Linked DNA regions of Ovis aries. The protein of the gene in region 6 binds, or shares a complex with, the protein of the main gene of each other region. Links are inferred from orthologs where the notes say so. Each region holds a gene or a part of one and is shown on either strand. Other genes may lie near its edges.

Region 1 (4,183 bases), on a different chromosome or scaffold from region 6:
GACGCAGCAGCAGCAGCAGCACGGCTTATTGACAAGGGGCTTATCTTCTTTGGCCTCACTGTTGCTTGTGATTTAAGTAGGCAGGCAGTACAGCTGAGAAAACAGTAAATTGTGCCATACCCAAGGTGGCAGGGCCTGTCTGCAATTTCTTACTACCCTAGTGCCCTTTTCCGAGTTTCTCTCAGGCCAGTAGTACAAGGTTCGATCAAATGTTATCCTGCTTGTTTTCGAATGAGTCTTAATGCTACATAAGAACGCGGTGCATTTTTTGTCGCAGTGCGACAATTGACACGTACAAAACACCCAGGAAATAGTGCTTTTCAAGGGACAGTAGTCCTTCGAAAGTTTAAATGTGCTTCTGTGCTCTTAACTTTCATTCCTCCCCCCTCACTCCCTTTCCTACCTGTTTTTCTCTGCTCTCCTCTTTTTTCTGTATGTGATTGCGGGTAGTAATGGAGGGAGTGCAGCCCTACTGAAAACCGCTACATAAGACAACGGTTCCTTGTTGGATATACATTTATTGATGGCAGGGGGTTTTCACATTCTAGAGACGATAGAGGCTGAATACACAAAGTAGGAGCTCAAACACTAATGGATGATGGGAATTCCTCCGCGGCTCAGTGGTAAAGAGTCCGCCTGCCAGTGAAGGAGACAAAGGTTGGATTTCTGATCTGGGAAGATCTCACGTGCCACGGAAGAACTAAGCCTGTGTGCTGCAACTATTGAGCCTGTGCTCTGGAGCCTGGAGACTGTAACTACTGCAGCCAGGAGCGGCAACTACCAGAGCCCTTGCGCCCCAGAGCCCTTGCTCCGCAATCAGAAGCCCATGCACTGCAACAAGGAGTAGCTCCCGCTCGCGGCAGCTAGAGAAAAACGCCTGCTGCAAAGAAGACCCAGCACAGCCAAAAGTAAAGTTATACATATTAATTTTTAAAAAGAATGGATGACAAGCAGGTGGATGCAATGTACTTTAGTTCAGAATTTCTGAGTGAACCTATTATTCTACCCCCTCCATCGAGGAAAAGACAACGCTTGGATCCTCGGAGCTAGCACAGTGATTGGCATAGAGTAGACATTGAATTACATTAGCTGAATACGGTGATTTTGAGGATTATTTATTTGATGGATGAATTAATCATAGGGTAGGTAAGTGATGAATCACAACTTGGTTCAGCTCTTAAGTCTTCCGGCCTCTGTTAATACCACCTGAGCCTTAGTGGGGGATTCAATACAGTCCTCACCGTAATTGCAGCAGAGGAATAAAACCCCAAGCTGAGACAACGGCGCTAAGAACACCAGTGCGCCCGGCCTTAGGGGCTGCGCGCGCAACCACGCCAGCTGCGGGTCAGGTGACTGCATTTCCCTGGCAACAGCTTTGTTGTTAGCAACCAAACTGTAGTCCCACGGTGGTCCAGGCAGGGCTGCCCGGGGGGCGGAAGGCACCTGCCATGAATCCGCCAGGATCCCTGGGGGTCCTGGAGGAGAAGGAGGATGAACATTTAGCCACCCCAATTCTCGGACCCTCCGTACATTCTGATAATCCTCAGGAGCGGATCCAGGCCCGGCGCCTGCGCATTGCGGCGCGCCTGGAAGCTCGGAGGCGGTGAGTCAGGGTTTGGGCGCGTTCTTCCAAGGAGCGCCCGGGGTGCAGGTGACCTGGGTGCTGGAATGAGGGGGTGGCTTCTCCAGGCCGGAGCCCCTGTGGTGAGGGGCTCGCGTGCCCTACGTGTGAGCTGGTCTTGCTTCTTGATGAGATAGAAAACTTTTCTGCCAGAAGGTTCAAACAAAGTATGTGATATTAAAGCATTGAATACACTTAGCAAAGTCAAAGATGGAAACAGGAATCCCTCCAGCACGTTCACGGAGAGCCTGCTGCGCCAGGCACTGTGGGCCGTACCTGAAGATGTTGGGGCTTCATGACCGGTCCCCCGAGATCGTTCTTTCCTCCTTGCCTCCCAGCGTGCCTTCCTTCCACAAGGGGTTACAGAGCAGACCTCGGCTATCACTTCTGTTGGTTTCAGTGGCTTAACTGGTTGTGTGACACAAAACCGTTTTCCTGCAGAGTCTGAGGCTGATAACTGTACCATTCTCAGGCTGGGGTTGCCACCCTCGTCCACTCACAGACTTTGTGGCCTGTCTTAAGAAGGGGGATCGAGGGGAACTTGCGTGAACCTGTGACTGCCTGAACACCGCACTGTGTGACAGCGCTTATACCTCGTCCTGCTGGTCAGGGTCAGCTGCCTTGCCAAGATGGTGCTTCTCTTGTTGTCTGCCGGTCTTTGGACACAAGGGGCCCAGAGTGATGTGGCTGTGTTCCAACAAAAACTTAACTTAAGGACACTGAAATTTGCATTTCATATAATGTTCGTGTGTCACAGAATATTCTTCATCTTTAGATCTTTTTTTTTAAAATTGATACACTTCATATTTTAGAGCAGTTTTAGGTTCACAGAAGAATTGAGTGGAAACTACAGAGGTTTCCCATTTACCCCCTACTTCTACACATGTATGAAGCTACCCTGGTGGCTCAGATGGTAAAGAATCTAACTGCAATGTGGGAGGCCTGGATTTAATCCCTGGGTTGGGAAGATCCCTAGAGAAGGAAATGGCAACCCACTCCAGTATCCTTGCCTGGAGAATCCCATACAGAGGGGCCTGGTGGGCTACAGTCCATGGGGTCACAAAGAGTCACACCCAACTGAGTGACTAACACGCACTCTACACATGTATAACCTCCTCCACTATCAATATTCTCCACCAGAATGGTACATTGGTACAACAGTTGGATCTTGATAAATATATAATGACATGTATCTACCCATCACAGTACTGTACTGAAGAGTTTCACTGCCCTAAAAATCCCCTGCACTCTGCCTATTCGTCTTGATCTTTTCAAAAAACCATTTGAAATGTAAAAAAATCATTCTTCACTCCTGAGCCATACAAAAGCAAGTGAATCAGATTTGGCCCATCAGCCAAAGTTTGGCAGCCCTGAGATAACAGATCAGTGTGATGCTCTGTGGGATATCCAAGTGGTCCTGATCTATCTAGACTCTAGTTTGTCAGCTCAGGAGCATTGACATGGCCCTGCAAGTATGAGGACTGTATGAGTGTGTATTATCTGTTCCTCCTCGATATGAACTTCCTAATCCTTTTTCCTGACTGAGGTAGAAATAGCATATTTGGCTCAATCAGTGGCCACATTCCAGGTACCTAAGGCCACACTTATATGTTCAAGCAAGGACCTGCATGACAGCTGCAATTAGGACTGCTGCTTGCTTGAGCTTGCAGTAATTGACAATCATTTTCTTGGCTCCATCCATCCAGTTTTTGCAGGGACCTGACCAGTGAATTAAATGGTGATTTGATAGGCACCACCACTCCCACATCTGTGAGATTCCTAATTGTACTGTGTGCTCAACCACTCAGTCATGTCCAGCTCTTTGTGACCCTGTGGACTGTAGCCCACCAGGCATCTCTGTCGATGGAATTTTCCAGGCAAGAATACTGCAATGGACTGCCATTTCCTTCTCCAGGGGATCTTCTCAACCCAGGGATTGAATCCACGTCTCCTGCATTGGCAGGCAGCTTCTTTGCCACTGAGCCACCTGGGAAGTCCTTGAGATCCCTAAGGGTGATGCTAATCCCTACCGTAGCCCTGGTATACAGTATTGCTTTTTGTGCACTTGGGTGCAGTTTTGGAGTGTCCATTTGACCTTCCATATGGCTATAGCTCTTACCCACAGGCCAACAACCTAGTGTGAGAATTTCTCAACTTTCTAAGCATGTTAAGATCACCCTTGTTGCTCTTTAGGGAATGGTTTGGAGGAACAAAGATCCTACATGCCACTTGGAGTAAAAAAACTCTGCCTTTCCAATGCAGGGGAGGCAGGTTCCATGGGGAGCGAGCTAAGATCCTACATGTACTCCCTGCATTGGAAACTCAGAGTCTTAACCACTGGACCACCAAGGAAATCCTGGATTGTGTTCTTTTTAGTATTCGAATTTTTATCCCTATGGAATATATTTTTGTATATGGTGAAATATACTATGAAAATTTAAAATTAAATCCCCCAGGCCATGCACAGCTCAGCAGAAAGATTTAAAAACAAAACAAAACAAAACAAGAAGTTAGGAAAAAAAGTGAAAGGTTTTACTTCCTAGAATTTAAACTTCATTTTCT
Region 2 (2,441 bases), on a different chromosome or scaffold from region 6:
AGATGTGTGAACTCACAGACACCAGAGTTGGCTGTCACCAATAACCATGAACTCAGGAGACAGCACAGAGCCCTCTGAGGCCTCAAGCACAGAGGGTTTGGGGCCCGGTTCTGTGTGGTCATATCTCCATAGAGCTGTCTGGGGGGTGTCTGCGGCCCCTGCTGGTCCAGCCGACCCTCAGTCCCCTTACAGGAGCGCGTGCTACACGAGGAGCACCTGCGACAGGTGGAGGCCCAGCTGGACTACCTGGCCCCATTCCTGGCCCAGCTCCCGCCTGGGGAGAAGCTCACGCGCTGGCAGGCCGTGCGCCTCAAGGAGGAGTGCCTCAATGACTTCAAGCAGCGGCTCATTGACAAAGCCAACCTCATCCAGGCCCGGTTTGAAAAGGTGCAGCCGGGGCCCTGGCAGGGGTGGGGACCTCGGCATCCTTCACCGGAAAACTAGCCCAGGGCTGTTGGCTCACCATCTCATAGACTTGTGAGGGACTAACGGGTGGAAGGGGAGGAGGTCAGTGCCTGGTGTGTCCAAAGGACCAAGCTGTCCTTCCTCATCCTTGTTTATTGGGTTGAAGGGTGGATGGAGAGGTGGATGAGTGAACAGAGGGATGGAGGCGTGGATGGCTGGAGCATTATAACAACTCCTATAGTTTTTGACCCATTTCTGTTGGTCAGGTACACACCGTGTAGTTCCCCTGCATTATCTTATTTAATCTTCACAAACGGCTCTATGGTGGTGCGGGTGGGGGTGAGTGCAATGACCCTCATTTTGCAGATGACAGATTGGAAGCTCTGAAAATGTACTTTGACCAGAGTCACATGGCTCTCAGTCCTAACTCCTGCTCTAACCTCGTGGACATGTTGTTGTTTAGTCGCTAAGTTGTGTCTGACTCTTTCTAACCCCATGGACTGTGCAGCCCACCAGGGTCCTCTGTCCATGGGATTTCCCAGGCAAGAATACTAGAGTGGGTTCCCATTTCCTTCTCCAGGCAATCTTCCCCAGTCAGGGGTCGAACCCTCGTCTCCTCTATTGGCAGGCTGATTCTTTACCACTGAGCCACCTGGGAAGTCCTTGTGGACATATAGCCCTCTAACAAGGCCCCAGGTTTTCTGCCTCTGCTTCTCTCGCTTCTATGAGAAGGGGTGACGGGGCTGACCTTGTGGGGCTGTCTGATGCCCTGTGCAGGAGCGGGGTCAGCCTGCAATTTGGGTCAGCCCTCCTGCTCTCCTTCCCCGTGCCCACAGGAGACTCAAGAGCTGCAGAAGAAGCAGCAGTGGTATCAGGAGAATCAGGTGACCCTGACACCTGAGGATGAAGACTTATACCTGAGTTACTGCTCTCAGGCCATGTTCCGCATCCGTATCCTGGAGCAGCGGCTCAGCCGGTGAGGAGGCAGGGGTGGCGGGAGCCAAGAGGACCCACAAGGATGTTGGAGCATCAGCTTTTGTTTTTTTGGTTGTGCTGGGTCCTCATTGCGGTGCATAGGCAGAAGCGGTTGTGGCACGCAGGCTTAACTGCCCTGCGGCATGTGGGCTCTCAGTTCCCTGACCAGAGATCCAACCCATGTCCCCTGCAATGGAAGAAGGATTCTTAACCACTGGACCACCAGGGAAGTCTCAAAGTACCAGCTTTGTAAACCCTCCCTCTGATTTCAGACACAAGGAGCTGGCCCCACTGAAGTACTTGGCTCTGGAGGAAAAGCTCTACAAGGACCCACGCCTGGTGGAGTTACTTAAAGTCTTTGTTTGATGCTCTTCACCCCCTACACCTGTGGTCCTCTGAGTCCCTCCTGAGGCCCCAGCAAAGCTGCCAGAGAAAGAAACCTCCCCCAAAGCCTGGCCCTTGTGTTCCCTATGCCCAGCTAATGACCATCCACTCAGGCACACTACTTTCCTGCTTTTCCTAATTTACCTATAAATAAACACTTGCCATTTGCCACGTGTACCTCATGTTTCACAGACTCCAGCAGCAGCCCTTTTCTCCTTCTCTTCTTTATCTGTGGCCTGGGACCACCTTTACAGTCTTATCTTATTTAATACAGCAACTGCATCCCCATTTCACACATGGCTAATTAGTGGCTGCTAAGAAGAGGCGCTGGAATTCAGTCTCTTGCAGCCTAGCGTCAAGAAGCCAAGTTCTGGGGCACACACCGTAGGCTTGCCATTCCCACTTTGTGAGCTGGGCCACCCCAGCCATGGTGGGGGTGCAAGACCCTCAGTTTGCAGACAAGAAACTGGAAGCTCTGAAATGTACCGGATCCAGAGCTACATGGCTGTCTCAGCCTTAACCCCGGGTCTGACTTCATAAGCATTATATCCCTTTAAACAAGATCCCAGTGGCTTTCTCCCAAGACATGTGTGTGACCCCTGCCTCTGCTCCTCTGACTTCTGTGGGTAGCGGCTCTTCCCAAAGCCCACCCCACCCGAGTCCCAAATGAAGTCGGC
Region 3 (3,500 bases), on a different chromosome or scaffold from region 6:
TTTATAAAACCACTCTTTAAGAAAACATTATCAAAACAACTAGTTAAGACATGAGTTCATACGAACCTGTAATATTGCTCTTTTGGGTAACTGTGAAATGTCAAAATCAGGAATCCCACCTATAAGAAAGTCTTCAGACACAAATTGTTCAGGAAAAAAGTGTTCTTCTTTAGAATTTGCTTTGAATTTTAACTTGGAGAATTTTTGTAATTGAAGTTCATGCTTTAGCATCTGCCATGAAAATAATTTACAGATTCCATGGAATTGTTGTAAGGACTAAATGAGACGATACATATAAAGCACAATGCTTGATATAATGACAGCACCAATTAAACATTATTATCATCATCATTATATAAATTATCATTGTCCAGGGCATATGTAATAGTCTCTGAACCACCAAAGCATTATAGATCATTTCCACTAGTTGTCATACAATACTGGCATAGGCAGTCACCTTGAAGATGTGGGCCAGCCTTCTCTTATAGAAATGAGAAAGCTGAAACCTAGAGTCAAGGTTCTGGTAATGACAGAACTGATACTTGGGGCATGGAAGGGTAAGGGTTACCCTGGAGCTGTAAGAGGAGAGTCAGGGGACTTCTCTGGTCTCCAACCTCTCACTATCAAGAGCCTGGGTTCAAGGTCCCTGGTTGAGGGACCTAAGATGCTAGAAACCGTGTGGCATGGCCAAAAATGAAAAAAAAAAAAAAGTGTATATATATATGTGTGTGTGTGTGTGTGTGTGTATGTGTGTATATATATATATATATATATATATATATATATATAAACGTTTTTCTTAAAAAAAGTCAGAAGGAAAGAATTTGGAGAATTGCCTGATGTATCATTACAGTAAATCCCCATTTTTACTTTCAATCCATTCATTAAGAGCGCATAATCAAGGAAAAAACCCTCAAGGGTAAATAAGTGTTGTACCCATACACACACACAATTTTCCTGCAATATATGTACATACTAGAGCCTAAGGAAGCGTGCACAGTGGAGAGCTGGCACGTAGCTCTCTCCTCCCAGCAGACACCTGCTGTCCTCACTCCACCCTAGTGAGTGCAGCAGTACCACTAGGCCAAGAAATCACATAGCTAAAATAAAACATTTTCTTTAAATACTCAATTAACTATTTAATACATATCTACTCTAGTACTCTTGCCTGGAAAATCCCATGGATGGAGGAGCCTGGTAGACTACAGTCTATAGGGTCGCAAAGAGTCGGACACGACTGAGCGACTTCACTTTCACTGCTTTCACATATTAGGGATAATATTACTGTGTCATATATAATATACACTATCATACATATTTATATATATATATATATCAATTACTACAAAACATCATGTTTAGTGTATGGGGATGGTTAAAGAGAACAGTGCTGCCTTCTCTCAGGGACATTCAGTTTAAGGGGATATAAAACGGCAGCCTGGTCACGCAGTTACCTTTTCACCAGGAACCGTAAAATGGGGTTTAATTTCTTCCTAGTTTTCTCTTTCTTATTTATCCCGACTTTATATTTCAGACTATTAGTAAAACATTACATACTAAATAATATAACTACAAAAAATTCCAGCATGTTTCTGTATCTGTTCCTAGTAGTTACTATGAATATTCTAAAAAACATTAAATGATAATTTACTATGCTGATAGCTAAAGCAAACTAGAGATGTTTTTATTATTATAAGTTTGAAGGAGTTTGCCTGGATGCTCTGTTTTGACTGCTTTAATTTCTAATACGTGTCCCAGTTAAGAATGATTCAAGTGTAGAAATTTAGTAGCTTTAAAGATAATTTAGTATTAAGATTTTAATTTACTAAATTGGATATTGAAAAGAGTAGATAGAAATGCAACCTTATCTAGAAAAGAATAAATTTAGTCTACCATTTATTTCTGTTATAATCATATCAAACCATTTCTCTTCCACTTTAAACATTTATTTCCACCTAAACACTTGCTTAAACAAAATTCTTAGTGTCTTTATCAATAAATTAAAATGAAATGTTAAAAAGATGTTTCCTTGATGTTGAACTTCAAATGAAAGAGCAAAATTTATTAGGAAATATTTTGGGTAAGTGAGGAGGCATTTAGATTGTTAAATTAAAAGAAAAAGGACCCCTTTAAAAGTATATAATATGCAAGTCTTCAGTGTTTTCCACGCGTAGCGTTATCATCTGAGACAACATCAATGTAACAGCAAAGTTCAGTTTCTAAAAAACAGTAAGTGTCCAATATGCCATACCAGCTCATCTTCTCTCTTTTTAAACTTATGTCTTGCTCTATCCCTCCATTTACTTAGGATAACTATCATCTTGTAGCAGTGGAACATCTTTTGTATCCGCAGTAGTGCATCTGAAGAAAATGCATTAGATTACTGTATATAATTGCACAGTATTATGATTAATATTCTATCAGGTTTATAACATGAAACAATGCTGCATTTGATAGTTTTTATTTTAATTGCATCTGAAATTGATTACTATTGACAGCAAAATATAGTACTGCTGAGACTTCATTAACTTGTAAACATTACCTTTGCCCTTATAAATTAAGATATTATAGATGTAACAAAATGTCAAGTTATATAGCATATCCTTTTAAACAAATCTGTTCTTTATAAAACCAGAACTTCCAGATTTATTCATAGAAATAGAGTCATGAGATAGTACTTTTAAATGCCCTGTGATTAAATAGATTGCTCGCTCTCTCTCTCTCTCTATATATATATATATATATATATATATATATATATATATATATATATATTTTATGTTTAAGCAGGGGTCCAAAGCTCAAACACAGGGGCCAGGCCAAGAAGGAGGATGATTAAGGCAGGCCTTGGGGACACCATTCTTAACTATAGCTAATTGCTTCCTCTCAGAAATAGAGACCCACTACCTAGCTTAGTCGGTAAAGAATCTGCCCGCAATGTAGGAGACCTGGGTTCGATTCCTGGGTTGGGAAGATCCCCTGGAGAAGGAAATGGCAATCCACTCCAATATTCTTGCCTGGAAAATCCCAGGGGCAGAGGAGCCTGGCGGGCCAGGGTCCATGGGGTCGCAAGAGTCGGATATGACTTAACGACTAAACCACCACCACCACCCTATGTTAAAATCACCAGAGTCCACTCTGAGGTACCAACAGGAGCCAATCAAGAGGAAAGGATTTACTGATTTGCAGCAGCCATAAACAGATCAATATGTAGTTAGCTGGATGGACTCTCTATTCCTGCTCTGAAAAGCACATACATGTACTGTCCACTCATTACAGCTATCGAGGGTTTAAGTAAAAGAAAATTATTTTTCTTTAAGTTTTCTCAGAAATTCATTAAATAAAATATAAAGAATAAAGAGCTGTTTATAAAAAACAGTCAATTTTGATATCTATCTGTCCATCTACCTATCTATCCCAACTCTCTATTTTATAAAAAAAAGTTAATAGTAGCTCCCTATTTATATTGAAACTTGTATATATATCACACAAATAGATAT
Region 4 (4,263 bases), on a different chromosome or scaffold from region 6:
GAAGATACGGAGGTAAGTAATTCAAACAGTTATATTCAAGCTTGCTTTCATTCTAAACATCAGCCAAACTAAGAGAGACTGTGTTTTGCTCGTGAGAGACATGTGGGCAGTGGGGAGTAAGAACTGTCTTTAGAGAGACCATTGAGAGAGGGAGGTGCAGTGAGAAAGTTAGGGCTTCTTCATTTATAACTAAAAGGTTAAGATTGGGTATTTTTTGCTATCCTGAACCTTCTGTTGCAAGTAGTAGAAGAGTCAGTGGGGGAAGACAGTATGAGAGCTTAAATTGCAGTTTTCTAAAGAAAGACCATTCTAACTCCACCCCTTCAGGCTGGACTACATCAGTGTGATCCTCTGAGAGAAAGTGCTGTGAGGGCAGGGTGTGCTGTGTGTGCGTGCTAACTCGGTTAGTGCTTGACTCTTTGTGACCCCATGGAATGGGGCTATCCAGGCTCCTCTGCCCATGGGATTCTTCAGGCAAGATTACAGAGTGAGTTGCCATGCCCTCCTCCAAGGGATCTTCCCGACCCAGGGATGGAGCCCACATCTTTTAAGTCTCCTGCATTGGCGGGCGGGTTCTTTACCACTAGGGCCACCTGGGAAGCCTACCTAACTGCTCCTGCAGGCCCTTCACTTCTTCCTCCAGCTTCCTGGTGCGACTCTGCATCGCCTCCTGCAGGCTCCGGCACTGACGACTCATCTCTGGCAGAGCCGTGGGTGGCCAGGGACCCAGATGGGGAGAGAGCAGTGGAGAAAGGACAGAAGTTGTGGGTGGGGAGGGCTCTGCTTGGTCCAGTGGACAAGTGCATAAAGGTCTGTTGAGGGCCTTCCCTGGCAGTCCAGTGGTTAAGACTTCACCTACCAATGCAGGGGACGCGGATTTGATCCCTGATCTGGAAGCTAAGATCCCATATTCCTCAGAGCCAAAAAACCAAAGCATAAAACAGAAGCAATATTGTAACAAATCCAATAAAGACTTTAAAAATGGTCCACATTAAAAAAAAAAAAATCTTAAAAAAAAAAAGTCTTCTGGATTCTTGTGGTGATCTGAGAAGGTAGGGACAGAGCTAGGAAATAAGACACCCATCCGCTATGGTAGCTCAGTATGTGAATTCAGGCCCTCCTTCCCACCCACTCCCACGGGAGGAGTGAGATAAAGGCTAGGGCTGCGTTTCATAGTCCACGGGACATCAAGCACAAAGCACTGCATGTCACGGAAGGTTCCTGCCCAAGACCACAGAAGGCCCCCTCAGGATTCCTGTGGGTGCAGGGAGGGCTGAGGCTAGGTATGGCGGTTCGAAGTCCTCCTTGTCTCCCTTTCTAGCATCCTTGGGCCCTCCCAGTTGTCCTCTTCCGGGCCCCTGTCTCCCGCCCACCTGCTCGATCAACCTCACACCTGCATATATGGCCTTCCCTTCGCTCCGGGCCCCCTCCAGTTCAGCCTCCAGGTCTTTGATCCTCTGCTTCAGCTGGTCTTCCGAAGCCTTGGCTCGGCGGGCTTCATCCCTCTGCAGAGCTGTGAACAGTCCAGAGCAGCCCTCTGCACTGGTTGGGGGCTCCACTCAATCAATCAGCCCCCATGGCCTTGATGGACTCTGTCCACCTTCAGAAACCTGGCGGCAGCCTGCCAGTCTCTCATCGTCATTCTGTTTCCCTTCCCCGCCTCAGAATCCTACAGACTCTGTTACTAAGAGGGAAAAACTCCCTCTGTGTTCCAGCTATAAAAGTTAGCTTTCTTTATCAACCCTCACGGCCCACCCTGTCCTCATGACCCCAGCTCTTGACAATCTTTTCCCATTAGGGGATGGTTAGAGATCAGCTCAGCCCTCCACCATTGTTCCAAAACTTTAAGCTCCCAGGGATACACAAATGCCCACTGTCTCTGTTGCCGAACTTCTACCCTTCTTACCCAAGCGGTCTTGGAGCACCTCCTTTTCCAGCAGTGCCAGCCTGTGCATGGATTCAGCCTCCACATCTGCCCTGGCAAGACAGCAGACCCTCAGCTTGTCAGGATCTCAGCCTTCCCTACCCTCCTCCCACCCTCCTCCCATACCCTGGACTTCTCTTTTTTTTGTGGGAGATACAAGGACCATTAAATGAGGGATCTCTGATAGCAAAGCCTAATGAGTTCACTACCCAGCTCACAGTAGGTATTTGAAAGATTGTAATGAATATACAAGGAAGGCACACAGCCAGAAGGGATTCATGGGTGCTGATTTTCCCATGTTCCCAGCTCCATGGCACCCGAATATGGATATAAAGGGGGAAGGCCAAGACAGCTCCATCTTGTCACGCAGAGGGATGAATTCTCTCTGGAGGTCTCTGAGCCAGAACAAGGAGAGGCTGGGAGGCACCCACCTCCACCCAGTCTGACTCACCAGCACCTGCATTTCTTTTCTTCTTCTGGGCCCCAGCTTTTGTCCCTTTTTCTTTGGTCTTAGGTGGCATCTCCTTCCTGTCCTGGAGGGAGGGAGGGGGCTCATATTTAGGTCTGGACATGGAGACACTCTCCTGACTCCCTAGACGGAACCAGGAGTCCCAGGAGAATTAGTGCTCTCATCTCCAAGTCTGTCTCTTACACTTTCCAGAAGCTTCAGTTCTTGGTTTCCTTGGAAACTTAGGCAAGGCTGGGGCCAGGGGGAAGGATGAACCCATTTCTCTCTACCAGTCAAGCTCTAAGTACAGAAATCATTCCTCTCAACCCTCTTTCAGAGAAAATAAAGCTCAGTACCTGGCCCCTTCTCTCTTCCCATCATCCTTACCCTGCCTCTTCCTTCCTCCAAGACCCTCACTTGTCTCTGTTGTATCTCCCTGTGGCGTGACCCACTTTCCAGGAGGGGCAGAGAAAAGGCCCAACCAGCTAGGAGCCGGAGGAGGAGATTGTGTTCTGGGACCCAATCCAGAGTGGCAAATTTCATTTGGGGGTGGGACTGAGAACTGGAAGGTTGGGCTTCTGGAGGCTGCACGTTGTCCAGGCAACTGGGAAACATGGAGCTGTTAGGAAGGTACATGCATGCTTGCTCAGTCGTTATAATTGTGTCTGGTAGAAGGGGCTAAATACAATGCTTAAAATACCAAGGTCTCAGAGGGCCAATACTCTTCTTGTCCCCAGATCCTAAGTGTAGTTTGAGGAGAGAGGGCTTTGGAACTGATTAAATATGATTCACTTCTATGTAGCACTGCCTGCAATTTGGACACTTACAAATTATAGATTTACACATCCAAAATAATGCTATTGCGCTGATACAGAGGAAAAGAACTCACGGTAGCCATTTGGGGTGATTTACATTTCCCAAAGTCTCATCAACAAAATGACATTATTAAATAGGCTTAAAATTGAAGATTTCAGGAAGGTATTCTACGGTGAATGAGGGAAAGAAATTCAGGAGATGGTGGTTGAGAGAGTTTCCTATTTCAGATAAATGAGACACAGAGGAGAGTTCGACCTAGGACCTCAAGGTGCTGTGCTAAGTCACCTCAGTCGTGTTCGACTCTTGCAACCTCTTGTGACCCCATGGACTGTAGCCCTCCAGGCTCCTCTGTCCATTGGATTCTCCAGATAAGAATACTGGAGTGGGTTGCGATGCCCTTCTATCCTGACATAGATGCAAATCAAGAAGAAAGGGTACTGGTTAGAGACAGGAGCTTTTGAGTTCTCATCCTTACCCTTCTCCAGATATGTAAATTTGGGTAAGTCATTTTCCTTGCTCAGCCTCAGTTTCCTAAATCTTTGATTTTGTAAATCTTGAAAGGCTTGGATTTTCACCAGGTATTTACAGGACTATCTTCTTTTATGGTGACTTAATATATTTCCTCTTTCTCCCTATTCCTGTCTGTGGTTGATTTTCAGACAGGTGCTGAGAAAATAACCAGCTTGGTTCCCTGTGGCATTGAGTTGATTTGGGCTCCCTCTAGTGGATTTTCTTGACCTTCTAGTAAGTCTCCTGAATTTTTCTATTTAAATTATTTATGGAGCAATGTTGGGGGCACCCCTCATTTAGGGGTGCTGCCTAGCATCTTGCTGGAGTCACGAATAGTTGGAAAAATAAATCTGGGGAAGGGAGAACGCTGAGTGGCTTGCCCTGGTTAGCTGTTCCCTCCCCGAAACCCCTCTCTCCAGCCTTTTGCTATTGGGAGCCTTTGCTGTCTGTCTGCCACCCAGATTTGTGAACACCAAAGTGGCTAAAATGAAAACAGCAGAAACTTCAGGGCTTTCCCCCTTGTGGATTTAGGGAACTGCAGACTCTTTCTTTAGATATTTCTCTG
Region 5 (3,500 bases), on a different chromosome or scaffold from region 6:
ATTTGTCCAATTACAGAAAAACTCGCTGACCCCTGCTTTAGACCCTCACCAGAGGGTATCATCTCTTGTTATAAATAATCTGGTTTCACATTTGCATCCCTTAAAGATGGTGTCCTGTTTATAAGCTGCTAGTTAATGTCCTTTCATTCTCAGTGTGTGGGATCATAGTTTTTCAATTGATATGACTTCATTGTATTTATTTTCTCAATATAGTTATTGAATTTTTTTGTGTGAACTATTGGTAATAATTATGTAAAACAGTAAGTATACTTCTTGTGATTCTATATCAAAACATTAAATAACAGTATTTAAAATTCTCTACCTAGGAGAAAATACTCAATGGACTAAGAGTCAATAATCTGAATTAAATAGTTCTAGCTCTTTTTCAAGCTAGTTCTGTGAACTTGGGCAAGGAAGGCATTTAATCTTCCTGAGTCTGGAGTCACTCATCTCTAAAATGTATTGTATTAGCTCTTTATACAAAATTTTTTTAATGATTTAACTTTTTCAAATTATAAAATATTTCAACAATGCAGAAAAATGTGAAGAATAAAATTATTAATCCTTATGTATATAACCACCAAATCTTAACATTTTACATGATAGCTTTAAGAGTTTTTTTTTCCAAATAAAATATGTCAGGTACAATTGAAGACTGATTCTATTCCCCTCACCCTTCCCCCAAATAGTTCTTCTGAATTTGTTGTTTATTGTTCTCTTGTATATGTTGTGATACTTTTATTAGGTATGTAAGTATTTTATTTAAATGATACATATAGGTGGCTCAGATGGTAAAGAGTCTGCCTGCAATATGGGAGACCTGGGTTCGATCCCTGGGTCAGGAAGATCCCCTGGAGAAGGAAAATGGCAACTCACTCCAGTATTCTTGCCTGGAGAATTCCATGGACAGAGGAGCCTGCTGGGCTACAGTCCATGGGGTCACAGAGAGTCGGACATGACTGAGTGACTAACTTTCACGTTCACGTTCATAGTTTTACATGTTCTTAAATGTTGTATACACAATATCATGCTGTACATTCCAGGTCCGTTAGTCTTCAGTATGTAAACTTTTTCCGGTTAAGGAGTTTCTCTTTTTGGCTAAGAGTTGTTGTTTGTTTTTAAATGATGTGATGATCATTTGGCTTTTTTCTCCTTTTGTCCTTATTAATGTGATGATTTCCATTAGTAGATTTTCTAATACTAAACTATTTCTGCCTTCCAAGAATAATTCAAATTTAGTTATGATGGTCCTTCTGAGTCTTAACTTGTGTGATTTTTGTAGCTCTTTGTGAATGTGGGGAAATATACCTCACTGATTCATCTTACATTTCTCCTTATAGGCAATTTTTGAGTGATGTAATTACAGAAACTATGGAGGAGTTGCAAGAAGAAGGCACTTTCACCAGTCTCCTGAAAGCTTTGGGCAAAGAGAGGGAAAGCAAAATGCATTTCTATGATATCATTGCCAGGTGAGAGTAACTTTAGGTTTATTTGCTTTGTTGCCTTTTAAAGTGCTATAAAACTCTTACTGGAAGTCTTAGATTTCTAAAGCAAATCAAGTTTTTGCTTTTAAGGGGAGATAACTAGGAGTCAGAAAGTTGGGTTCTGTTTGGAGTTCTGCTGGAACAATAGCTCAATTTCTGGGCTTCAGTTATCTGTATCTATAATATATATAGTACAATATATGTACTACACAGATGAGTAGTGCATAATCTATGGTTTGTTTTGGCAATGACAATCTCAAGATTCTAGTTAGCAGGATTTCTCGAGATGTTACTTAATGATAAGATTTTGTTGTTGTTGTTGTTATTGTTGTTGCTATATAGACTGAATGTTTGTGCTCCTCTAACCTCAGTTTTTGGAATCCCAACCTCCAGAGTGATGGTTTTAGGAGGTTGGACGTCTTTGGTCAGTGAGTAGGTCTTAAGGATGGAGCCCTCATCTGTGGGATTAGTGCCCTGATAAACAAGACCCAGGAGAGCTGTCTTCCTCTTCTGTCATGTAGATACAAACGAAAATGGGCAGTTGTGAACCAGGTGGCAGGTTCTCAGCAGACACTGAGTTGGATGATACCCGGATAGACTTAATAGCCTCCAGAACTGTGAGCAATGAATTTCTCTGTTTATAAGCCTTCCAACCTATGATATTTTTATTATGGCAGCTCAAGCTAAGATAGGTATTATTATTTTTTTTTATTGTATTGTTCTGTTATTTTGTTTTAAACCTAAATAAGGGGATTTCTGGAGATAAGCAGAATTCTGTTTCTGAGGGCAAACAGAAACAACATAAAATAGTTAAATTCTCATTCAGCCAGAACTGAGTTTAAATTCTGCTCTGCCATTTAAACTCATTCTGCTCTGTGACTATGGCAAGTGTGTGAGTCTGTATCTTCTTAGAGACAGATGACAAGATGAGATTATTAATGTAAAGATTTTTATCAGGGAAACCCTTATGTGAGAGAAAATGGGGAGGGAGCCTTTGGACTCAATGCTAGACTCACCGTAAGTGAAGGAGAGGGAAGGTTGGGTGGATGAGACCACCCTGCAATCTAAGGATGATTTGGCAAGGTCAGCAGGCAGTCCTTGAGCGAAAGTCAAGCATCAGAAGAGTCCAGAGTCTCCTAGGGAGGGATGGCCTTATCCCTGCCACCCTCAAAACTTGGCTGGGAGCAGTCTGTGGGAAGGATTGCCTCAGAGCACAAACAGTGGAGGAATTCAGAGTCGAGAGCTTGGACCCTTGTTTGCTTACATTGCCTGTACTAGGAGGTCTAGGGGCACATTCTCAGGCCCTCTGCAGCAAGTTACCTCAACTCTCTATGTGCATTTTCCTCATCTGTAAAACGGGAGTGATGACAGAGATTATGTCCTTAGATTTGCTTAGAGGTGCTCGGAATAGAAAAGATTCATCTTTTTCCTCTTCCTGTTCCTCCTCTTCTTAGCTTGTTCTCAGCAGCAGCAATTTTAGATACCACACTGATAAGCCAGAAAATCCTCTTCCAGTTTACTACAATCACAATCTTTTTTAAAAATAAAGTGTTTTTTTAATTGAAGGATAATTGCTTTATAGAATTATGCTGTTTTCTGTCAAACCTCAACATGAAGCAGCCATAGGTATACATATATACCCTCCCTTTTGAAACTCCGTCCCATCTCCCTCCCCATCCCACCCCTCTAGGTTGATACAGAGCCCCTGTTTGAGTTTCCTGAGCCATACAGCAAATTCTCAGCTATCTATTTTATATATGGTAATATAAATTTCCATGTTAGTCTTTCCATACATCTCACCCTCTCCTCCCCTCTCCACATGTCCATAAGTCTATTCTGTATGTCTGTTTCTACATTGTTGCCCTATAAATAAAATTTTCAGTACCATTTTTCTAGTTTCTGTATATATGTATTAGAAGATGGTATTTATCTTTCTCTTTCTGATTCACTTCACTCTGCATATGAGTTCTAGGTTCATCCACCTCATTAGAACTGACTCAAATGTGTTTCTTTTTA
Region 6 (4,210 bases):
TGTAGACCCTTCCCAAACCAGGGATTCAATCCATACATTGGCAGGTGGATTCTCACCCACTGTACCACCAGAGCAGTCCCAAGCCTTCTCTTGTAAAACAACTTGCAAAGCACCTGCCCCAAACCTGAGCTGAAGCTGAAATTGGCAGCTCAGAGCAGGAGGAAGGTGTGGAATGAAGGGCAGTTGTCTTTCCCTCCCAAAGTGAATCCACCCAGGACCGAGCCAGACACCTGAGCTCCACCTCTGTTTGAAGATCTCTGTTGCTGGATGAAGGAAGGGGAACTCGGGGAACCCATCCCCAAGTCAGAGCCTCCCTAGCTGCGAAGTTCTGGGGGCATTTAGTCAAAATTTTAGAGCAGAGCAGGCCTTCCTGACAGCATTTCTTGCGTGATTGCTCATTCTAATTGAGGCAGTGGTGATTAGTTGGTAAATCACTGATGAGGGCTTGAAAGGGGCCTGGAGCCCCTGGCCTCTGGCTGCTTGCAGTCCCGAGAGGTCGCAACTGTGGATCTTAGCTACTGTGGCAGGGGCCACTGTTCAGTACACTGACTGAAAGCCTGGATCTTAACATATAGTCACCACAGTGAGGATACTAGGGCAGGGCGGTGGCGGGGGGGGGGGGGGGGATGTTGATGAGTTAACTGAGCTTCTAAGGTTGTAACTTATCCAGGGTAACCCAGCTAGTAATCATCAGAACTGAAATTTAAGTTCTGCTTCTAGTGAACCAATCACCCTTGGTTGCTCTTCCCCTCTTGAAGGACAATTTCCTTTTCTATGAAAGCTAGTCATTTCACAGAAGCTGGTCATTCCTGGTGTCGGGCTTAGGGCTGTGGAGGGAGCGCTGTGGAGGCCTGGGGTCTTCCTGCCTGGTGCCAACTCAGCCTTGCTGACAACCTGGAGAAAGGCCGAGGGTGGCTCCAAAGGTATGCTGCAGCCAGTGGTCAGCTGAGGGCCTCAGGGGAGTTCCAAGAACTGCACGTGCCCTTCCATCATCCTCTTCCGGAAGGGAATGGCCACTGGTGCTTTTCCTGGACCGTCTTCCCACTCGTCATCCCCATCTCCATTTCCACACAAAAGGCCGGAGAAGGAAGAGCCCCGTAGTAGACCAGGAGCCCTGCCGCATCCGCAGCTCCCTGCCTTTCCCTGCAGAAACCCACTGCTCCTAAATATGTCCACTCGACGCACAAAGCATGTCCGGATGCCAGAGTTCTCACTGTCCGCTCTGGGCTCCACATAGTGCCTTAGAGGGGGACACGTATTTGCATCGATCCTGGGCCAAGGCGTGCTGCTACAACCATCGAAGTCCGGCAGCCCTGCCTTCGCACAGCGCATAGCAGTCAACCAGCTTGCGGGAGAACGCATGCGCACCCGCCCTTGAGGGCCCGCCCCCTAGCGACGCACGGCGTCCCTAACAACCTGCGTTCGTGGGGACCTGCGGGAAGGTGAGAGGCCAGGTCTCGGGAGCGGTGAGGTAACCTCTGGAGAGAGAACACCCGGCCCCGGTCTCCCCTAGCGGGCTGAGCTCTCTGCCCCCACTCTCCCCACAGGGCATGGGAGCACCCCACAGAGTCAGCCCACCTGGCCGAAGTCTGCAGGTGACCTTGGCTCCCGTGAGAAGGAAGGGCCGGCCTGTACCTATGGGAAGCCCCCACCCCCATATGAAGTTGACCATGCCTCCTTCCTCCCTACGGCCACTGCAAACTGGCTCTGCGAGTCAGGGGAGGGTCACCGGAGATGGAGAAGGGGAAAGTGGAATGAGAGTCGGTCATGAGTGAGAGCAGTCCCTAGTTCCGGGGCCCCAGCCTTCCTGGAAAGACAGAGCTCTATTCCCAGCTCCTGGGGCTGCAGTCCTTCCCGCAGGTCTAGACACTTCTACACCTCCCTCCCTCCCATGACAAAGCTGGTTATCCCTGGTCACCAAGAAGGAGGGCCCCTTCACCCCAGGCGGGTTGGGGGAGGGACTTGCTAGCATTTGGAGCTGAGGTTCCCTGGTGGGGTGTCTGAATCAAAGGTAGGGATGAGGGTGGAGTTCTTTTTTAAGACCACAGACCTAAGTGCGCAGTTGGGAGGAAAGCCTGGCCCAGGGGTGTGATAAGTGTGCAGACTGTCTCACCAGCAAAAGACCAGGGGTGCTAGGCCAGAACTCTATCAGGGAAACTTTTTTGCCCCTCTTTTGTGATTCCGCAAACTCTGAATTCCCAAATGGGAATGACTTGGCCTGAGGTGGAGTCTGACACAGTAGGCAAGATAGGGATTGGGGAAATGTAGACCAAAGCCAGGGCCCTGAGGAACAGCTGACTGAGAAGGCAGGAAGCACCACCAGAGAAGCTGGGGGATATGGGACGTCAAAGCCCAGCCCCCAAGAAGGGATGTCCAAGGCCACAGAGGTCCTCAGAGAACCTAAGGAAGGCCTGGCACTTCTGCTTCTCAGTTCAGAGAAAGAGAGGTGAGGACCAGGGGTGTGGTGAGCAGAAAGGAGAGAGGATCCTCCTCCTCTAGCATCTTCAACTTTCCCATTTAGGCAGGCAGGTGGAGCCTCTGCCCAAAGTGTTTGGATTTAACTAGGCACTTGAGAAAGATGGAGGAGGTCTGAGACGTTTCTGAGAGGAGGGAAGGTGCGGGAGACTCGAGCACTGAACCCTAGGTCTGGAAGGAACATGGAGGGCCCAAAGTGGGCCACGGGGCAGGAAAGCACAGCTCTGCGGTATCTCTTGGATCCTCGTGGGGCCTCAAAAGCTGAAGTGATCATCAGTTCTGCAGAAGGGCCCTGTGACTGGAAGGGACAGGGAGTGAGGGAGCCTGGGCTTTTCAGGTCAGCACCAATGAGGGTGACCCCAGGCTCCGACTGGAGAGAGTGTGAGGCCCACTGGAAAAGTGCTATGACAACCGAGTCTGGGCAATTTAGGAAGCAATCCCAACATCCCGTGATTTGTCTCTGCTTTTGTGCAGGGAAGTGAGGGACAGCTTTGGACAGACATTGGTTCAGAGCTCAGCTTCTCCATTTACTATGTGATGCTTAGCTAGTTACTTAAGTTCTCTAAGCCTCTGTTTTCCTGTTTGTGAAATGAGGATAATGGTGTCATAATAACAATATTTGTCAATAATAAGTCTGAAGATTTCATAGGCTTATATAGGTACAGCATCTAACATCTTTGTCATGATATCTAACACTTACCTTGAGTGTTGGCTCTGGGCCCAACACTATACAGAATGTCTCACACATGTTTCCTGGTGGCTCAGACAGCAAAGAAGCTGCCTGCAATGCAGGAGATGCAGGAGACATAGGCTCAGTCCTTAGGTCGGGAATATCCACTGGAGAAGGGCATGGCAACCCACTCCAGTATTCTTGCCAGGGGAATTCCATGGACAGAGGAGCCTGGTGAGCTATCACCCATGGGCTCACCAAGAATCAGTCATGACTGAGCGACTGACACTTTCACTTTAGGGCTTCCCAGGTGGCAGGAACGGTAAAGAACCTGACTGCCAGCGCAGAAGACACAAGAGATGCAGGTTCAGTCCCTGGGTTGGGAAGATCCCTGGAAGAGGAAATGGCAACCCACTCCAGTGTTCTTGCCTGGAGAATCCCAGGGACGGGGGAGCCTGGTGGGCTGCCATCTCTGGGGTCACACAGAGTCGGACACGACTGAAGTGATTTAGCAGCAGCAGCAGCAGCCAGTGCAGAAGACACAAGAGATGCAGGTTCAGTCCTTGGGTTGGGAAGATCCCTGGAAGAGGAAATGGCAACCCACTCCAGTATTCTTGCCTGGAGAATTCCAAGGACCGAAGAGCTTGGCAGGCTACAGTGCATGGGATTGCAAAGAGTCAGGCACGACTGAAGCGACTTAGCATGCAAGCATGCATACACATTAGCTCCTTTAATCCTCTGGATAATCTTATGAAGTAGGAACCCCAGTTACTATCCCATATTACAATAAAGAGATGGAGGCTTAATGGGGTTGCATGATTTGCCAGGTTCTCCCAGATGCTGGGGACAGAGTGGAGATTGGACCTCAGGCGGCGTAACTCCTGAATCCTGAGCTAGCTGTTATGCCGCCTCCTCCTGTGCACACACTACTGAGGGCCTGCCCTGCTGCTGCGTGTGTGCATGCTCAGTCACGTCCAGCTCCTTGCGACCCCATGCACTGTAGCCCACCAGGCTCCTCTGTCCCTGGAATTCTCCAGGCAAGAATACTGGAGTGGGTTGCCATGC
Region 7 (4,138 bases), on a different chromosome or scaffold from region 6:
GTATAATATATGACTGTTTGCTTGTAATGAATGCATTAGTTTTGTGGCTCTCAGAGGGGGTTATCACAACAGAGACATATGTGCCTCAATATGTGAATAGTGTTGCTGTTAGGAAATTTTACTCAGCTGATGTCCCCACTTCACAATGAGGAAAGTGAGGTTTAGAGGGGTTAAATTAACCGACCTCTTGTAAGTAGACCGCTGGGAAGTAATAGAGCCCAGATTTCAACCCAGGCAGTCTCACCCTCCCTGCTTAACCATTACCCTTCCTCTCTTCCCAGACCAGTCCCCTCATCTGAATTCAAACCCATAATTTTAGAGAGGGAAAACTGAGGCTCGGGGAAGAGAAGGGACGTTACTTAAAGTCACAGTGCTTCTCCCTCTAGAGAGGACCCAGAATGGAAGGGTCACCCCTTAGGGAAAGGTCCCAGGGAAAGCCGGCAGGCCGTCCCGCGCTCCACTCGGGCAGACGGACCGGGCAAGAGTCTCTTGCAGGGTGGGTGGACTGAGGGCTCCAGGGAGATGAGCATTTGAGAGAGAAAGGGGAGCGAAGAGGCGTGCGGGATTCTACTCCACGTGTTCGACTTTGAGCCCCCTCTCCCGCCCCGGGCTTCCTCGGGCGGTCCCCACGCTGGGCCCCCTCCCCACATCAGGACTGGAGGGAGAGAAGCGCAGCAATGAACTTCCCCGCAACCCCTCTTGGCCCGACCTGCCCGCCTCCCACACCCAAATACCCAGCCGCAACCTTTCACTCCGAGCCCCCTGCCCCTTGACCTCTGCCCTCTCCTCTGACCATCCCTCACATGCCTCGAATTCTTACACGCGCCGCCCCAGCAACCCGGACCGACCGCCGGGGTCCGCACAGCACAGCACAGCCCGCCGGCGCAGCCGCCAAAGCCCCGAGCCCGGAGCTGTTGCAGCTGCAGCAGCCGCCGCAGAAACCGCCACCTCAGCCGCTGCCACCACGGCAGCTGCGCCAGCTCTCCCATCCGCCGCCTACTGTCCCCTTCGCCTGGCCGGCACCGCCCCAGTCCCCCCTTCGCCGCGCCCTATTGGCTAACTCGGGCGTCATGATGATCTCTGATTGGCCAATCCTTACGTCCTTCCCCAGTTAATACAAGCCTCCTTGCCCACCTCCCTGGGGAAGAGAGGCGGGACAAAGAAGCTCCGCCCCTTTCACGCCTATTCTCCCCGCCTTACTCGTTCAGCTTAACCCTGAGGGACGCCCGGCTCTTCCAATTGGTGGAGAGTTAGACACACCTTGTTTCTGATTGGTCAGTCCTCAGGAGGTGGACCAAACCGAGGGGAATAAGGAATCGAATGGCGAAAAGGAAAGTTAATCAGACACCGAGTCCCGCCTTCTGAGATTGATGGGTAACCTAGCAACGCAGGAACAGCTGTGGTAACCAAGGACAGAAAAACTTAAAGACCACCGAGCAGGTGAGTGATCATGTGGGGAAGGGCTGGAGATGATGGGGAGATGTTGAATGGGATCTAGTCCTCTTATCTTTTTGACACTCTGAGGAATCAGCATCCCGTCCCCCCTCCCCCCACCGCTAGCCCGTCCCCAGCTCAGGACCCTGATCTCCAGCCCCTGCCTCAGTCTGGACGTCCCTCTCGACCTTCTGCAAAGACGACTGGGCGTCCTCTTTGGTGTCTCTGCCTCTACTCTGCCCTTCCTCTTGTCCACTTCATGGTTCCACTTCCTCATCCGTAAAACGTGGATGATACTAGTCAAGTGGACTCACAGCTAAGTTAAACTACTTTCAAGTTACACATAGGTGTTGGGGGTGAGAGAGTAGTTTTATAAGTCCCCTACCATTCTGTCAACAGCTTATAAATCCCAAGGTGAGCATGCAATGAGAGTGAGTGTTTAAATTATGTACCTTTGTACCAATGTTGGCCTTTTGTGCTATAATAACTTTAGACCTTAACTTCCATCACTGTCCTTAAAATATAATTTCATTTACATACTCAAGAGAAAGGGTTTGTTGCAAGGATTAACTAAAACAAAGTAGAATAGTTGTCGCCAGGGGCTGGGGGAGTGGGAAACGGGCAGTTATTACTTAACTGGTACAGAGTTTCAATTTGGGATGATGAAAAAGTTCTGGAAGGCAGATGGTGGTGATGGTTGCATATAGATATGAATGTAACAATTTAATGCCACTGAATTTTAAATGGTTACAGTGGTAAACTTTATGTTGCCTGCATAAGTGCTCAGTTGCTTCAATCAAAGTCAGTCGCTTCAGTTGTGTCTTGACTCTGCAAACCCTTGAACAGTAGCCCGCCAAGGCTCCTCTGTCCGTAAGATTTTCCGGGCAAGAATACCTGAGTGGACTGACATTCCCTCCTCTACGGAATCTTCCCAACCCAGGACTCCAACCCGGTCTTCTGCACTGAAGGTGGATTCTTTACCCCTGAACTTATGTATATTTTAACACAGTAATAATTTTTCAAAGCAACTATAAAGCTAGACAAAACCATCTATTGCTAAATTAGCACTCTGAAAATCAGCCAAAGGCATACAACAAACTGAGAGCTTTTATTCATAAAACCACCGAACTTCAAGTTTGTTTTGTACTTACCTGGGACTTCTCTGATTTCCCCATACTCAGTTCTATCTGGCATAATAGTTCAACGAGGGCAGGTAGCCCCCTGAAAACCAAGAGCTTCACTGTCGCTGTCTGATGGGGCTCACTTGATTTGGAGGACTCTTGGCTAAAGTAGCAATCTTGGTGGGACGAGAACAGGGAACGCCAGCGGGTGTAGCAGTCCAAGGTTGTAGTTCTATTCGGCGCCAACAGTGCACTGAAAACTTGGAGTTCTGGGGAATGCGGCATCCATGCGGAACCTGATGAGCTCTGTCTTACCTTGACTGACTAGAGGTTATGCGCATGTGCAGCAGAGACCTGCTCCGGCCCAAGAGACTTAGAAATGCTTGGCCTTTGGAGCCTGGTGTAGACAGGTGTACTGAGTGCATAGGGTACTTGCCATCCAAGAATAGGAGCCTTACTGGTTCAAAGTGTGAGCACAACCCCTGACTGATTTTTGGCTGAATATTAAACTATGTGGATACATAGGTGACCCCTAGGAAGCCAAGTTTTAAAATAAAAATATGCAAAAAAAATTAAGCAGAGATATCAGTAGCTGCACACCATGGAGGAGACTGACTTGACAGATTTAGTCCAGGAAGTAAATTACCAAATGCCCAAGCAAAACAAAAACAGCAATCATTAGGAAAAAAAAATACTGTGTTGCTACCAAAAAAAATTTCCCTCTAAGATTTCCAGTGTTCAATAAAAATTGTGAGATGTGTGTAAACATACTCAGGGGAAAAATGCAGTCAATAGAAACAGTCTCTATGTGTCCCCAGATGTTGGTTTCAGCAGACAAAGACTTCAAAAAAGCTATTATAAATACGATCAAAGAACTAAAGGAAACCATGTTTAAATAACTGAAAGAAGACAAGATAACAATGACTATCAAATAGAAAATATTTAGTATCCCAGAATAGATTATGATAAATTAAGGTGTACATTATAATCCCTAAATCGACCACTAAAAAAAAAAAAAAAAAAAACACTCAAAAAATATTTTAAAAATCAATGGAATAATTAAAAGAATGGACTAAAAACATTTAACACAATAAAAAGCATTCAGTAAATAGCATGGGGACAAAAAAGAAAAGGCATGAAATGCCAGAAGCCAGTGTGAGGAATCCTGCCCGTGACAAGGTCATGAGGAAGGAAGCTGACATACGCAAGGTCGTGATCAGACTTCAGAGTTCCCCCTGGCATTTCCTGAGCATGTACCCCCCAAAACCAAAAATCTGCCAGCCTTTGTACTCTGCTTTTCCACTTTTCTGATATTCTCTGGAAAAAAGTCAATTCAGGGCTTTAGTCTTCTGCATTTGAAAGGAATGTTTCAGTTAAACCCCCTCTGATTGCTCTCTAGCTTGCCTAACAGGTTCCCCAGACCTCTTGTGAATTGCTTACAGCCCCCCAACCGTGAGAGGCACAAGGCTTAGAAGCATCTTAAAGATACAGAGCCATTTCTAAAGAGTTAAAAATTATATTGGTAGAGGGTTTTTGCTGTTGACTCAATGACTGCTGCCAGGCCTCCATATTCTTTATCTTTT

The links.
Region 1: TCTE1 (region 6) and DRC1 share a complex: the UniProt entries of both Homo sapiens proteins name them as parts of the nexin-dynein regulatory complex. The link is inferred for Ovis aries from reciprocal best matches to the Homo sapiens genes DRC5 and DRC1.
Region 2: TCTE1 (region 6) and DRC7 share a complex: the UniProt entries of both Homo sapiens proteins name them as parts of the nexin-dynein regulatory complex. The link is inferred for Ovis aries from reciprocal best matches to the Homo sapiens genes DRC5 and DRC7.
Region 3: TCTE1 (region 6) and FBXL13 share a complex: the UniProt entries of both Homo sapiens proteins name them as parts of the nexin-dynein regulatory complex. The link is inferred for Ovis aries from reciprocal best matches to the Homo sapiens genes DRC5 and FBXL13.
Region 4: TCTE1 (region 6) and CCDC153 share a complex: the UniProt entries of both Homo sapiens proteins name them as parts of the nexin-dynein regulatory complex. The link is inferred for Ovis aries from reciprocal best matches to the Homo sapiens genes DRC5 and DRC12.
Region 5: TCTE1 (region 6) and IQCG share a complex: the UniProt entries of both Homo sapiens proteins name them as parts of the nexin-dynein regulatory complex. The link is inferred for Ovis aries from reciprocal best matches to the Homo sapiens genes DRC5 and DRC9.
Region 7: TCTE1 (region 6) and IQCD share a complex: the UniProt entries of both Homo sapiens proteins name them as parts of the nexin-dynein regulatory complex. The link is inferred for Ovis aries from reciprocal best matches to the Homo sapiens genes DRC5 and DRC10.

The regions. Positions count from the first base shown.
Region 1 is NC_056056.1:33,576,704-33,580,886, forward strand, and holds the start of DRC1 (dynein regulatory complex protein 1), read left to right. Parts: upstream 1-1,383; 5' UTR 1,384-1,448; coding exon 1,449-1,603; intron 1,604-4,183. UniProt on the Homo sapiens protein: Component of the nexin-dynein regulatory complex (N-DRC) a key regulator of ciliary/flagellar motility which maintains the alignment and integrity of the distal axoneme and regulates microtubule sliding in motile axonemes.
Region 2 is NC_056067.1:25,289,716-25,292,156, forward strand, and holds the end of DRC7 (dynein regulatory complex subunit 7), read left to right. Parts: intron 1-192; coding exon 193-387; intron 388-1,241; coding exon 1,242-1,381; intron 1,382-1,652; coding exon 1,653-1,746; 3' UTR 1,747-1,941; downstream 1,942-2,441. UniProt on the Homo sapiens protein: Component of the nexin-dynein regulatory complex (N-DRC) a key regulator of ciliary/flagellar motility which maintains the alignment and integrity of the distal axoneme and regulates microtubule sliding in motile axonemes.
Region 3 is NC_056057.1:45,810,764-45,814,263, forward strand, and holds part of FBXL13 (F-box and leucine-rich repeat protein 13), read right to left. Parts: intron 2,362-3,500; coding exon 2,252-2,361; intron 232-2,251; coding exon 67-231; intron 1-66. UniProt on the Homo sapiens protein: Substrate-recognition component of the SCF (SKP1-CUL1-F-box protein)-type E3 ubiquitin ligase complex.
Region 4 is NC_056068.1:29,498,872-29,503,134, forward strand, and holds the start of CCDC153 (coiled-coil domain-containing protein 153), read right to left. Parts: upstream 2,801-4,263; 5' UTR 2,577-2,800; intron 2,458-2,576; 5' UTR 2,446-2,457; coding exon 2,376-2,445; exon of another isoform or gene 2,091-2,375; coding exon of another isoform or gene 2,051-2,090; intron 1,978-2,050; exon of another isoform or gene 1,973-1,977; coding exon 1,907-1,972; intron 1,538-1,906; coding exon 1,394-1,537; intron 856-1,393; coding exon 607-855; intron 1-606. UniProt on the Homo sapiens protein: Component of the nexin-dynein regulatory complex (N-DRC), a key regulator of ciliary/flagellar motility which maintains the alignment and integrity of the distal axoneme and regulates microtubule sliding in motile axonemes.
Region 5 is NC_056054.1:191,041,638-191,045,137, forward strand, and holds part of IQCG (dynein regulatory complex protein 9), read left to right. Parts: intron 1-1,340; coding exon 1,341-1,469; intron 1,470-3,500. UniProt on the Homo sapiens protein: Component of the nexin-dynein regulatory complex (N-DRC), a key regulator of ciliary/flagellar motility which maintains the alignment and integrity of the distal axoneme and regulates microtubule sliding in motile axonemes.
Region 6 is NC_056073.1:17,779,403-17,783,612, reverse strand, and holds the start of TCTE1 (dynein regulatory complex subunit 5), read left to right. Parts: upstream 1-1,410; 5' UTR 1,411-4,210. UniProt on the Homo sapiens protein: Component of the nexin-dynein regulatory complex (N-DRC) a key regulator of ciliary/flagellar motility which maintains the alignment and integrity of the distal axoneme and regulates microtubule sliding in motile axonemes.
Region 7 is NC_056070.1:61,298,425-61,302,562, reverse strand, and holds the start of IQCD (dynein regulatory complex protein 10), read left to right. Parts: upstream 1-1,338; 5' UTR 1,339-1,440; intron 1,441-4,138. UniProt on the Homo sapiens protein: Component of the nexin-dynein regulatory complex (N-DRC), a key regulator of ciliary/flagellar motility which maintains the alignment and integrity of the distal axoneme and regulates microtubule sliding in motile axonemes.